Neurospora crassa OR74A: one gene and its partners. The protein of the gene in region 3 interacts with the protein of the main gene of each other region in a biochemical or structural test. Links are inferred from orthologs where the notes say so. Each region holds a gene or a part of one and is shown on either strand. Other genes may lie near its edges.

Evidence for each region.
Region 1: the proteins of NCU06942 (region 3) and NCU08001 form a complex in vitro, tested with the Saccharomyces cerevisiae proteins (3 studies listed by BioGRID). The link is inferred for Neurospora crassa OR74A from reciprocal best matches to the Saccharomyces cerevisiae genes VPS4 and BRO1.
Region 2: the proteins of NCU06942 (region 3) and NCU07991 form a complex in vitro, tested with the Saccharomyces cerevisiae proteins (2 studies listed by BioGRID). The link is inferred for Neurospora crassa OR74A from reciprocal best matches to the Saccharomyces cerevisiae genes VPS4 and IST1.

The regions. Positions count from the first base shown.
Region 1 is NC_026504.1:3,875,054-3,879,066, reverse strand, and holds the start of NCU08001 (vacuolar protein-sorting protein bro-1), read right to left. Parts: upstream 2,801-4,013; 5' UTR 2,091-2,800; coding exon 1,813-2,090; intron 1,752-1,812; coding exon 1,322-1,751; intron 1,249-1,321; coding exon 103-1,248; intron 41-102; coding exon 1-40. UniProt on the Saccharomyces cerevisiae protein: Class E VPS protein involved in concentration and sorting of cargo proteins of the multivesicular body (MVB) for incorporation into intralumenal vesicles. Fusion between endosomes and the vacuole will then target the cargo proteins to the vacuolar lumen.
Region 2 is NC_026504.1:3,828,804-3,832,716, forward strand, and holds NCU07991 (DUF292 domain-containing protein), read right to left. Parts: upstream 2,462-3,913; 5' UTR 2,309-2,461; coding exon 2,282-2,308; intron 2,202-2,281; coding exon 1,329-2,201; 3' UTR 501-1,328; downstream 1-500. UniProt on the Saccharomyces cerevisiae protein: Involved in a late step in sorting of cargo proteins of the multivesicular body (MVB) for incorporation into intralumenal vesicles. The lumenal sequestrated membrane proteins are targeted into the vacuole after fusion of the endosome with the vacuole.
Region 3 is NC_026507.1:845,061-849,041, reverse strand, and holds NCU06942 (vacuolar protein sorting-associated protein VPS4), read right to left. Parts: upstream 2,801-3,981; 5' UTR 2,338-2,800; coding exon 1,685-2,337; intron 1,608-1,684; coding exon 1,157-1,607; intron 1,047-1,156; coding exon 825-1,046; 3' UTR 426-824; downstream 1-425. Other genes in the region: NCU06943 (SIK1), read left to right, coding at 1-51; NCU06941 (prefoldin subunit 6), read left to right, coding at 3,204-3,267, 3,322-3,392, 3,487-3,611, 3,670-3,790. UniProt on the Saccharomyces cerevisiae protein: Involved in the transport of biosynthetic membrane proteins from the prevacuolar/endosomal compartment to the vacuole. Required for multivesicular body (MVB) protein sorting.

The sequences.
Region 1 (4,013 bases), on a different chromosome or scaffold from region 3:
TGTTGAGAATAAGAATTTGGGAGATATCATCACTGTGCGCCTGTTGTTTTGTCAGCTCTTGATGAACCACACTCGACTCTTCATCGTGAGTGATCAACATACCTTTTGCTTCAGATCCTGTAGTACCTGCAGACGCTCCTTCTTCACCAAGCTGAGCTTCTTCAGAATATCTTCCACCTTTTGGATCTGCTCAACCACACTCGGGCCACCATCATCAAAATCGGCCTCCAAAAGATTAGGCTCCACGGTGGCGGGGCTATTCGGGTTTGACTTTCGCGACTTCCTGACTGCTCTCTGGAACAACTCATCGATCTCTCCATGCTGCGCGGCCTGGCGCATCTCATCCAACTCAGTTTCGTTGGCTCTAAGCTTTGTCGCGAGCTGCCCATCACTCTTCGCTGCCACTTCCAAGGCCTCCCTATACCTCCTAATGTCCGTTCTGAGCGTAGTGGTCAACCGCGAACTCGGCTGCTGAGTCCATTCCGCATCGTACTTGGAACGCATCTTCTCACACACGCTTTCCTCCATATCCAACTGCCTGCTACTCTTATCCAGTATTGTTGAAATGGCCTGCTTTTCGGTATGAAGATATTCGAAAATCCTATGAGGGCTTTCGTGATCCGCGACATCCACACACCATGTCCTAAAGTCTTCGTCAGGAAGGATATCCTGATCGAACCCTCCCTTCAAAACCTGAAGAGCGCCCGGAAGCCTGAGATAGTCCAGGCTAGCCGCCATCTCGCTGTTTGCGGTTTCTACTCTTTCCGTCTCAGCTCTCACCAGCTTGGCCTTCTCTTCATCGTACAAGCTAGCCGATTCGGTGACCGCGAGAGGCACAATTTTCGCGAATAGGTCGGGGCCGGTGATCCGTTGAATATCCTGGCCGGCATATAGTTCGCTAACGGGTATCGGTTTCGCAGCCGGCAGCTTGGGGACTGGTGCAACGCTGGCCTCAGCAGGTACGGGTTGATGGTAGATCATATCATTTTCCTTGTTGAGTTCCTCCAACTTTTCCTTGACAGTTGCGAGGTGTCTTTTGGTCGCATCTGCCAGGATGTGGCCACAGTCCGAAGTCAAATTCGAGTTCGGGGGCACTGAGGTGGGAAAACTGTGTGCCATCTTGTTTGCTTCTTTGGCAAGACCCTGTGCAATTTCAAGACGCGCAATGGCCACGCCATAAGAGTTTGCATCCTCATCAGCGAGGGCTTGATAGTACTGGGCGAGTGAGTTCATGAAGTTAAGCTTGATCTAATATTTTGTGTCAGTTTTGCCCCAGATTTCCCATCCTTCCTGATACGGAACCCACGCCTACACAACTTACCTGAACCACAGACAGCCAAACTTTCTCGAAAATGGCCTTGGTGACGTTTTCCTGAACGCCCTCAACAGCCTGGGCGTAGAGAGCGGCTGCTTGGCTAGACAACTTGGCGAGCAGACCATTCTTTTTTTGATCAGCAATCTGCTTCTCAAGGAAGACCTCTTGCGCCTGGGCCAACATGATGCTGATTAGCGTCTTGACCGTTTCCCTGCTCAGATCGGACGAGGGCGCGTGGAGGAAGTTCTCGTTGATGTAGGTGAACATGCCGGCCGAGGCCTGGAACGAGTGGTATGCCGTCTTGAGTCCCGCCTCCTCGGTTCGCAATTGGTGTGCCGCATGGCAGGATAGAACGGCGGAAATGTTGAAGATGATGGAGGCCTTCTCAAAAGCCAGCGAATATTGCGCTGTGGGCTTGTGAGTAAAAGCGTCGAACCTACAGAAGCAGCAGATGGTTAGCAACCGATGTGGGTCCCGAACACTGGAAGGGACAATACCATGTAAAGGAAATCTTGATGTTCTTCTCGTCCACCGGAAATCTCAAATCCAAAAGTTCGAGCTGGCCGTAGTAGCGATAGAGCAGGTCCCTTCCCGACGTGCTGTCCTTCCCGGCGCCTCGCATATCCTGGCGTAACCGGTTGAGGGTCGCACATTCTTCGGCATAGCGCTCCGGATCATCGCCGTACGTATTTCGAATGTAGTTTTTGAGGGGAGCAACCCAGTCAATCTCGCTTGTGGCCTTGAGGGGCACCGAGATCATGGGCGCCTGCACCATGTTGGGCGAGTATGGGCGGGCGGTTGGAATTCAGCGTCTCGGTTCGGTAAACGACTCGATGGAGTTCGGAATGCGGGGACAAGACAAGACGAAAGTCCCGGTTCTGGCGGCTTGTAATCCAAGTTCTTGTGGGTTTTCCGTGTTGTCTGCCGCGTGACGACTGCAGCTTTCCTAAGCCTACTTTGCCGATGGTATGTGGCAGACTGGGGAAAAGGGTGAAAGATTGGCGGTTGACGAGTTGTGAGAGGGAGGAGAGTTGCGTGTTCGTGTAAGCTTTGGGTAACAAGCCAGCTTGTGTCGTCAGAGCTCGCGTGCGGCGGAGGGGTACCTGGTACTTTGCCAACGGCGGTTGCCCTGCTGTGAACTCTGCTGTGGTGATTGAGCGTTGATGGCCGCCTGGCCGTGTTGGAGTGGACGGTAAAGTCGAGAACCACGTTGTGGACTTTTTACTTCTTTGGGGGTTGGGGAGGGGGAGATCCGGGGAACTGGTGAGGTGCAGTAGGTAGGCACAAGGCGAACTACTGGTACCTAGGTACCTTATGGTTGCTTAGGTCTCCAAATGTGGCCGGGTGGCTTGGTCACTACCTAGGTAGAGGTACCTTGGCGACGCTCGACGATTGACAAGACATAAAGCTGAGGTGATGTTGCTTGGTAATAGTATTCAAACCAATACTAGGTTGTTATTTATGGCTGGCCAACTTTTGCAAAAGTTGTCTCGGTCTCGCTCATCGTATAAGCGAAAGAGCGGCACCTCCAGGCCCCGTCATATGTTATATGTGCACCGCTTGACAGGTCATCGATAGGCGGCGGGCAGCAATGGGCGTGATGGGGCAGGCGGCAGCTACCGGGGAAGGAGCCACCCAACTACGGAGACAGTCCCGTATAGCTTCCATCATCCCCTGTCACCGGCCGGGCTCTCTCCAGCTGTGATTCAGACCTACAAGATGCCTCTGATATCGAAGATGGAGTTCAATGTGAAAGCCACTAGCACTTAGCTTGAAATCGAAGACACCCAGTGAGGTTTGCTGGACCAGAATATCCAAGCGGGAAACTAATCGAGCGAAGAAGAGGCAAACCAAGAGATGGATTCCATCCGCTCTCTCCAAGTTAGCCGCCGGCTGCAGATCGCTTCAGGCATCTTCCTCACATGTTCAGACGGGGGAAGCAGCTCCATTATAAGACCAGGAAGGTACAATAAGCTTAGCACTACCTACCTAGTCCATCTTTCCACACCTTCCCTCCATCCATATCGCCCGTCCAGATGGGCGTTGCTTCATGGCTCGATATTCAATGCCTTGCCCTGGTCCCCGTTTTCGGAAACAATCCTCCAATGATTCGGGTACCCGTACAGTCCGGGTGTGGTACAAAGCTACAAGCCGGCGGCTATGAAGGCCCAGTGCAGCGATTTGTTGGTGTGGCGCCCAACGGCTGACCCCTCTTTTCACCTCTTCATTAGACGCGCTTCTATCCGTATCTTTCATCCATTATGAAGAAAGAGGAAATACTGAGCCCAACCTGACAGAATGATGGGATGAGGAAACTGAAGAGAGGTATAAGTGATGGAATTAACCGAGCCTCGTCTCCTTTTGTGCGTGGTAATAACGCTCAAGGCAGCCGCATTCAACGGATGTGGAAACAGAGAGTGATGAAGAACAGAAGAACCCCGCTACAAAACGCGGGGGTGTTTCTCTTTTCACTATCACATCACATCTTGCAGCTGGCGATCGACAGGTTCAGGTTGCGAGAGCGGCCTTTCCCTGGATCCATACACACGGATATCTCATCTCTACTGTCAATATCACGGCTACGACATGTGCACTTTCCTCACCTTCGGAACGGCGTCTGTTCATGGGGCTCTACAATGTGCGGAAACTGAAGCCAGGTGCTCGACCCCTATATCCCCGTCAGAGGATTGTTTCACGA
Region 2 (3,913 bases), on a different chromosome or scaffold from region 3:
CAGCAAGCTCCTTCAGAGAGAGTTGGCCGAGTGTTCGAACGCCCAGCCGCCCGACAAAGGCTGTCATCTCCTCTTTATATTCCATCATCGATGGTAGGGTAGTGCAAGAGATGCTAGCTCTTGGTCGCGAGTATCAAATGAGCCTTATCAGACGCTTTCTTCAGGTTGTTGGCCAGATATGGTGAGTTTTCTGTCCAAACGGGGAGTGCTGGCTGGTTTCTGGACGCTCTTAGCCGCGTTGCGACTCGGTGGCGAGATGCCTGCTATCAAAGTCTGCGGTACATGTGGCAATCAGTGTCAAGTCTTTAACGAGATGGATAGTTTTCTGTTGATAGCACAGTTGTGTTGCTAAACATACAAGAATGCGTGATCCGAGACTAGGAGAATTGCTGCGGGTAGATAATTGAGTTGCATCAATTGGAATATGAAAAAAAAGGGAAACAGGAATGGTTGACAGTAGGAGTGCCCCTCAATCAGCTATTTCCCAGGTTTACGTGAGGGTGAATGACGCGACCGTGACTCTGGCTCGTTTTCCCACCCGTGACCAGGTGGGAGGGACGCGATACCAGTGGGAGCAAGTTTCCTTGAAAGCCTCGTGATATCCGCTTGTTGCTTGGAATATCTTGATGAGCAACCTCTGCGAGATGTTGGAAATGTGGAAGGTCAAAGGAATTAATCGACTTGGGCTGCGTCGATGCGTTGGTACTGTAATATTCAAAGGTCATATTGGGACCAGAGCAGGCAGCTGGCATCAGGTGTGAAATCAAGGGACACAAGTTGGGATGAAAGGAAAGAGCAAACGTCCATCAATTTCACGGCGGGGATCCAGCGAACAAGGCAGGAGCTACCCTCGCTAGCTTTGCCAGATGATTTAGTCACCTCTGGCGTGGTTGACAGACGGGGGCCTTCCATCACATCTGCCCCGTTTACGGAAGTCGGGGGCAGGAATGAAGAGGAGGGGGCGGACACAACCATGACGGCTGCGCCATCCTGCCAGCCTGCCACGGAAATATCAACATGGGAAGTGATCCATGCCTCTACAACCTCAAAAGGACTGATGAAGGGTTTGGTGATTGGGGAATTCTTGGCAGTCCAAGAACCAAGAGAACCTTGCCATATACCAATAGCAACGCGGTATCCGACGGGTCAGTCAACACCAAGCGAGCAGCCCAGGTATGAGAATATTCGAATTGATGATGATTCGCTTGAAATGTCATAGGCCAACAAATACTAGTACCGCTGCAAAGATTCGCTCCCATACTTCGTAGTTTGGTTCTGCAAAAGCACAAACCGCTTGAAAAAAAAGTCCATATCATGGCAAAACCATGCTACTTTTTCAAAGCCGCAAACCGCTTAGCCAGCTCGTCCACGTCAGGAATGCCATCTGCGATACTCCCCTTCGCAGGCGCCTTCTTCACAACTCCACCACCCGCTGGAGATTGCTTTGATTGTAATTGCTGGTGGTTCAGGGTGACTTTGGGATGGATATTGTCGGTTGACGGCGGTGGTGGGTTAACATGTAGTGGGCTCGCAGGTCCGAAGGACACTGGTGGCGTTGCCTTGCTGAGCTCTTCCTGAGCCTCCGCCTCCTTATCTTCCGCCTTTAAAGGTACCTCGAGGTTCTTCTGAGCCTGCCCACCGCTCGGGCTCTCATCCTCGTCCATAAAGTCAGGCGGCTCGCCCAAGTGTGCCTTCTTCTTTGGCCAGTTCACGCCATACACCTTTGCGATCTCCTCCAGATAGCCAACAACAAGCTCTTCCCGCGGTGGCGTCACGCTGAGCTTCTTGACAACCTTTTCCGACACCTTTCCATCCGAGTTTTCCACCGCCTGTAGCGCAAACTCCTTACCAAACTTCTCCGCGAGCAGCGTCCGTACTTGGTGGAGCTCCTTGATCTCGGTCTTGGGTGCGGCGTAGATGATGCTCTTGACGGCCTCCTCGAGACCAGGGTCGCATGTGGGCGCCTCCAACAGACCGGCGCGGGCAAGCAAGAGTTCACAGTAGAGTTCCAGAATCTCGTGAAGCTCGGTGGTGATGTCTGACCGGATGATGTTTTCAACACGGATGCGGGCCGAGTCCTCCTTGCCAACATCAAGCAACTGCGCCATAGCCCGTCGCTGGGTCTTGGCGAGGGCTTCATCGCGTTTCTGGACCATACGCAATCTGGCAATAGCCAGTTTCAGCTGGACTTTGAGTTTGGCCTGTGTTCCGAGTGAGCTTCATCGTCCATGTAGACGTTACATGTCGTGGCATAACTTGAGGTGGAGTTAGGATGACGTACCACAAAGGCAGCTCCTGCGGGAGGCATATTTGAGGTGTTTCGGGTAATCTAATGGTGCTTGCTGTGAGAAATAAAAGCTGTGACTAGGTGGGCGACCCAACTATGAGTGGCTGGTTCAGAACAGATAATGAAGTCAAAGATATGATGATGGCCTTTAGGCAACTTGCGAGGTTGTCGTCGAGTTGGAGGAGACGGGACGACGGGAGCACCACAGCTTGTGTGGGGTAGATGGTGGGACCGTATGCGGATCGACAGGGCCATTGGCTGTCGCGAGGGGAGAAACGGGTCCTTGCTCAGTGGGCCGGATGCGTAAGGTAAAGTAGAGAGTACTTAGAAGCCCTTGTAGAATAGGCATTATAGCATGTAGATCTACCTACTTCATGTTGCATTCACGATTCCACCTCCTGACCACTTTTCAGTGCCCTGTACTCGATTTCGAGTTCAACCACCTTCACCACGATACGTCTCGCAGGTGATTCACTCGACCCAACTTCACGATTCCAGTCGATTGTCTCAGAAGATGAGACATCAAACGCGACTACTGTTCCTTCTGAACTGCCATCGACGCAGGCCCGGTCCAAGAACGTTCTGCAGCATATGTGCATCACGTGACAGTATGTACCGGGAACCCTGCTGGTTGCCGGAACGTCAACGACGTCCGCCGAACAACCGGACATCAACTCTCGCAGCTTCCCTTCTTCTCTTACAACGGCCTACTTTTTGACTCCAGTTCCATCCTCCCCAACTCAACTTATATACATGACTTCTCCTTGTCATTTGTGTCACTAATCCTGATATCCCAATACTTTGTTTTTCGCTCCGACGATTCTATTCCCACTCCGCTCAAAATCGAACGCGTGGTCTTTTGTCTCCTCGATCATTGTTACCGCTTCTCTCACAAGGCAACTTATAGACGACTTGATCAGACAGTCGCCCTTAAAAACCAGTCAAGATGGCGGACAAGGATAAGGATAAACAGTACAAATACCGCCAGGAAATCCAGCAGGTTAGTAACTCACCTTGCACGCAAAACCACAATCGTGTTTCGCAGGCAAAGTGCCCTGACAAGTGTTGAGGCACACTCTATGAATTCTCTCTGTTTATATCTCGTGCTTTGCCATCCTCATCCCGTCGATTTGTACCCGTGCACGCTTTTGCTTCATGAATGTGAACCTCCGAATTACACGCTTTTTGAAGCAGCCCAGGAAAGTGGTTAGAGATCCTGAAGGAACGTTGTGGGGATGACGAGCTATCACCTGGATGGCCTCGAATGTCGCCGAGCCCCGGCGAAGTCGGTGGTTTTGCCCACGGGACGATGCTCAATTAGAGAAAAGTGGTTCTTGCCTTCCGCAGTCAACCGAAAGTTGCATGCCAGCTCCGATGGTTGCCTGGTTGCTCTGTTACCGGTCGCGTGATAAATCGGTCTTTTCGGTATTCAGGAACGCCAGGCACCTCGATTCATTCCCTCTCAAAACAAGCTCACTCTGGCCTTAAGGGAAAGCAACTTGCATGGGTCGGCTATTTCCTCCGTTCTTGCAATCGACGGCAACTCTGCACGAGCCACTGTCTCTTCCTTCGCCATTCACCCACCACCACGCAGCTCCGACCTGAACCTGTGATTTCACATTCACA
Region 3 (3,981 bases):
GCTGCGGAACCCGAGAAGAAGAAGAAGAAGAAGAAGTCGAAGTCTGAGTAAAAAGACCGAAAGAAAAAGAGCCAAAAAGCAGCGTCACCACTTGTGTCTTTTTCACGATTTTTACTTTTTTTCTTCGTCATCTTGTTTAGAGCTTCTCGTCGCGTTTTTTGGCACGTCGTTCTTGTTGGTTCGCTCTGTTGTCGTTGTTATCCTCGGGAGTTTCTTATAATGTATGGGGTATGGGTCAAATCTGGTACAAAGGAGTTTTACGGGTCTACTTGTTTCTTGCAAGAATCATAAATAGTTCGTCGTTGTCGTCATTCACATCTCTTGCCATCTACGACTGATCATAGAGGGGTAGCGCAAAAAAGTTGAAAAGGATGTGCGTGTGTACTAGCATCATACCCATGGAGCATCATATGGCGGCGATATGGGTAAAAACAAAGGCTCATTAAACGAAACGGAACGTACGTCTAAAAGTACCTGGTTGATGTGAAGTGTCATGAATCTATGTACTCTTCCAATATCGCATGATTGCAAAACGCCCATCGACACTCCATCTTCCCCTGATTTTCTCGCTAGAATAATATCGTCATCATCAAGTCTTCGTAGTAAACATGTGCCTTGCCGCATGCAATGTGCTGCCAAGATAGAAAAAGGGGCTTGCAAGACTCTTAACCCCAAAGTAAAAAGTACCTAAAACATCCAGATACCCGCCGCCCTCTGTATACCACTCCTTCGCTTTCCATGGGAGAAACACCAAAGAACAAGAATAAACCGCACGGAACGAACCATTGACCACACCCGCCCCCCACACTGTGGCAGGCATCTCTCTACGCACCCTCACTACCAAACTCCTTTGTCCATTCCTCATTCCTCTTGAGATCCTCGCCCGACACAGTCGGCCTGCTGGCCTTGATGGCCTTGATAAAGTCCTTCTTGTCGACAAATGGTTCGAGCAGCTCGTCCGAGGGTACCTGCTCCCACGTCATTTCGATGGCGTCCGGATCGCCTGGCGAGCAGGGCGTGAGCATTTGTTTGCCTTCGTGGACGACCTGTTTTTTGTAGTAACAAAAGTTAACAATCTCGCATCATGAATAGAGGTAGAAGTAGGGGTTGAGGGTCAGGGATGGGAGAGAAAAGAGAAAAACAAAAAAGAACGAACCTTTTTGAAATGCGTAGCCTGCTGAATCTTCCTCACCGGTTGCATCAACGCATCCTGCACAACAATACTGATATCCGAACCCGAATAACCCTCCGCCGCGCGCGCCAGCTCGCGGAAGTCTTCCGCCTTGAGCGCCGTGTGGGTGTCGCCCACAGCCAGCCGGAACATGGTGGTGCGCGCCGCCAGGTCCGGCAGAGTGATGTGCACGCGGCGCTGGAAGCGGCGACGGATAGCAGCATCCAGCTGCCAGGGGATGTTGGTGGCGCCCAGGATCAGCACGCCCTTGCTGTCTTTGCCGACACCGTCCATTTGGACCAAAAGTTCGGTTTTTATCCTGCGCGAGGCTTCCGACTCGCCTTCACCGCGCGGACCGCAGAGGGCGTCGATCTCGTCGATGAAGATAATGGAGGGCTTGTTTTCTCGGGCCATGGCGAAGAGTTGCTTTACTAGACTGTTTTTTGTTGGAAAATCGTTAGCTTCTCAGTCACGATAGTGGCATAAGGACAGAGACAACAGGACAAAACATACCGTTCACTCTCACCCATCCACTTGCTCACCAAATCCGAGCTGCTCACGCTGAAGAACGTGCTCTTCGCCTCTGTCGCCACTGCCTTGGCCAAATAACTCTTTCCTGTTCCCGGTGGGCCATACAGCAAAATACCCTTCCACGGCTGCCTCTTCCCCTGGAACAGATGCGGGAACTTGATTGGCAACAAGACCGCCTCCTTGAGGGCCTCCTTGGCACCCTCTAGACCAGCCACATCATCCCAGCTGATGTTCGGCCGTTCCTGCAGAATCGCGCCCGCCAACGCACTTCTCAGCTTCTTGCTATCCTCATCCAACGCTTCTCCATTGCCATTACCGTCCTCCCCGGCCTCCTTCCCCTTCCCCGTCCCGCCCGTCGAACCCCCGTTCGCGCCCACCATCCCGGGCTTCTTCCGCTTCGCTTCCGCGTCCGCCAGGTGCGCTTTGAGCTTCTCGGCCCGGTCCATGTACTCGCCCGTCTTGGCCCGGATCATCTCCTTGGATTTCGGGTTCTTCTCCCATTTTAGGGCGAGCATGAAGAGTTCGAGCGATTGGTAGTACAGCTGGTAGGCTTTGTCGTACTGGGCGGCGTTGTCGGCTTCGATGGCTTTGCGCACTTGCTCGATGGCGCGGCCGAGGAAGTCGGTATTGGACATTTTGTGCGGCGGCGGCTCGAAGCGTGTAAAGTGATGTCGCGTGAATTCGTGGTTTAGTCGAGTGTAGGATTGGTCGCTCTTCTTGGTACGCCGTAGTAAGCGTTTGTAGTCGTTATACTTGTTTGCTTCTTCGCTCGGACAAGGAGAGTTTGTTGATATTCGCGCGCCGAGGTTCGAAGTCAATGTCAACAGATGGCCATATGCGAGGGAGGAGACCCGTTGATGACGACTGCTGTTGTCCTAGGCTACGGCAACGAGAGTGGCAGAGATAAGGTGAAGAGAAATCGGGAATTGGTCGTATCTTGCGGGCGTCACCTGGCAACGACTACGGCAAGACTGTCTTCTGGCACAAAAAAGTTGGTGTCGCGCCCTGGTCTGAGGTGGAATTGGAGAGGGGAAGATCGTTGGTGGTCTTGTCCATATCTTGGTTAGTTTCAAGCAACGAGGTCGACTTGTCTTGGCCGTTGACCTGGAAGCGCTAGCGTAGCGCGGGGTCCTGTTATGGTTCCCGGCCTGGGGGCCACTGACGCCACTTGTTTGCGCGTGGAGAGAGCGCTGGTCTGGGGCTGTTAGTACTTTGCTTGAGGATACACTCCTGCACTAACAGCTAAAGCTTGGGCACTGACTTTGGGATCTGCTCAGCTCACCCCTGACGATTGACTGCACAGCGAGCTCAGTTCCCCGGAATAGAAACCTCCAAATTCCCCATACTGGAGCTCATCTGTGTTTCTTGTTCCTGCATTTTGATCCATCATCTTCCCTCCCTCACTGTGTCCAAACCCTTTTTCAGTTTTCGAACGTCATCGCCTAGTAACTTTTCAGCATAACCCTGTCTCTCACTTCACATCACCCTCAAAGAAGCAGCCATGGCCAGCCCCCTCCAACTAAAGCTCCAAGCTCTCTCTGATGAGTATCAAAACCTGAACAAAGGTGAGCCCCCCTTATGATGATATCCCCGTAGTTCATTCACTAACTGTACCTCAGAACTCCAAGAGACTGTTCTCGCCAGACAGAAGCTCGAGGCTCAGAAGCAGGAAAACGTCAGCGTGCAAAATGTCAGCTTTTCTCCAAGCATCGCGCTCGCATGCCCAATGCCTTTCGCCAAATTCTGCCCAAGGAAAAAATGGGGACTAACTGAGCACCATGTAGGAGTTCGAGAAGCTCAAGGATGACGAGCAGATCTTCAAGCTAGTGGGCCCGGTGCTGCTCAAGCAGGACAAGATGGATGCAGAGAACACAGTCAAGGGTAGACTGGAGTTCATCAGCAAGGAGATGTAAGTTGAACTGCTGCATGGGATCTTGAGTTACAACGCAACTGACCCACTGTCACAGCACTCGCTTGGAGGGAGTCATCAAGGAGACACAGGGCAAGATTGAGAAGAAGAGGACAGAGATCATTCAGGTCCAGACGAGCGCCCAGGCTGGTGGTGCCCCTCAGGCCGTCAAGGCTTAGACCTAATGAAATCAGTTACGGAAAGAATGTCCACTATACCCAATCGAGATCAGGCGCAGGTACGATTCATCACACAGCGCTCCGGGGAAACTGTCTCGTGAATGCAGTCATAGGTCGATTTCTTTACCAAACGGTAATTATTACGTGATGTATTCATTGAAGATTCCCCCAAGATACCCCTTGACGCCTTG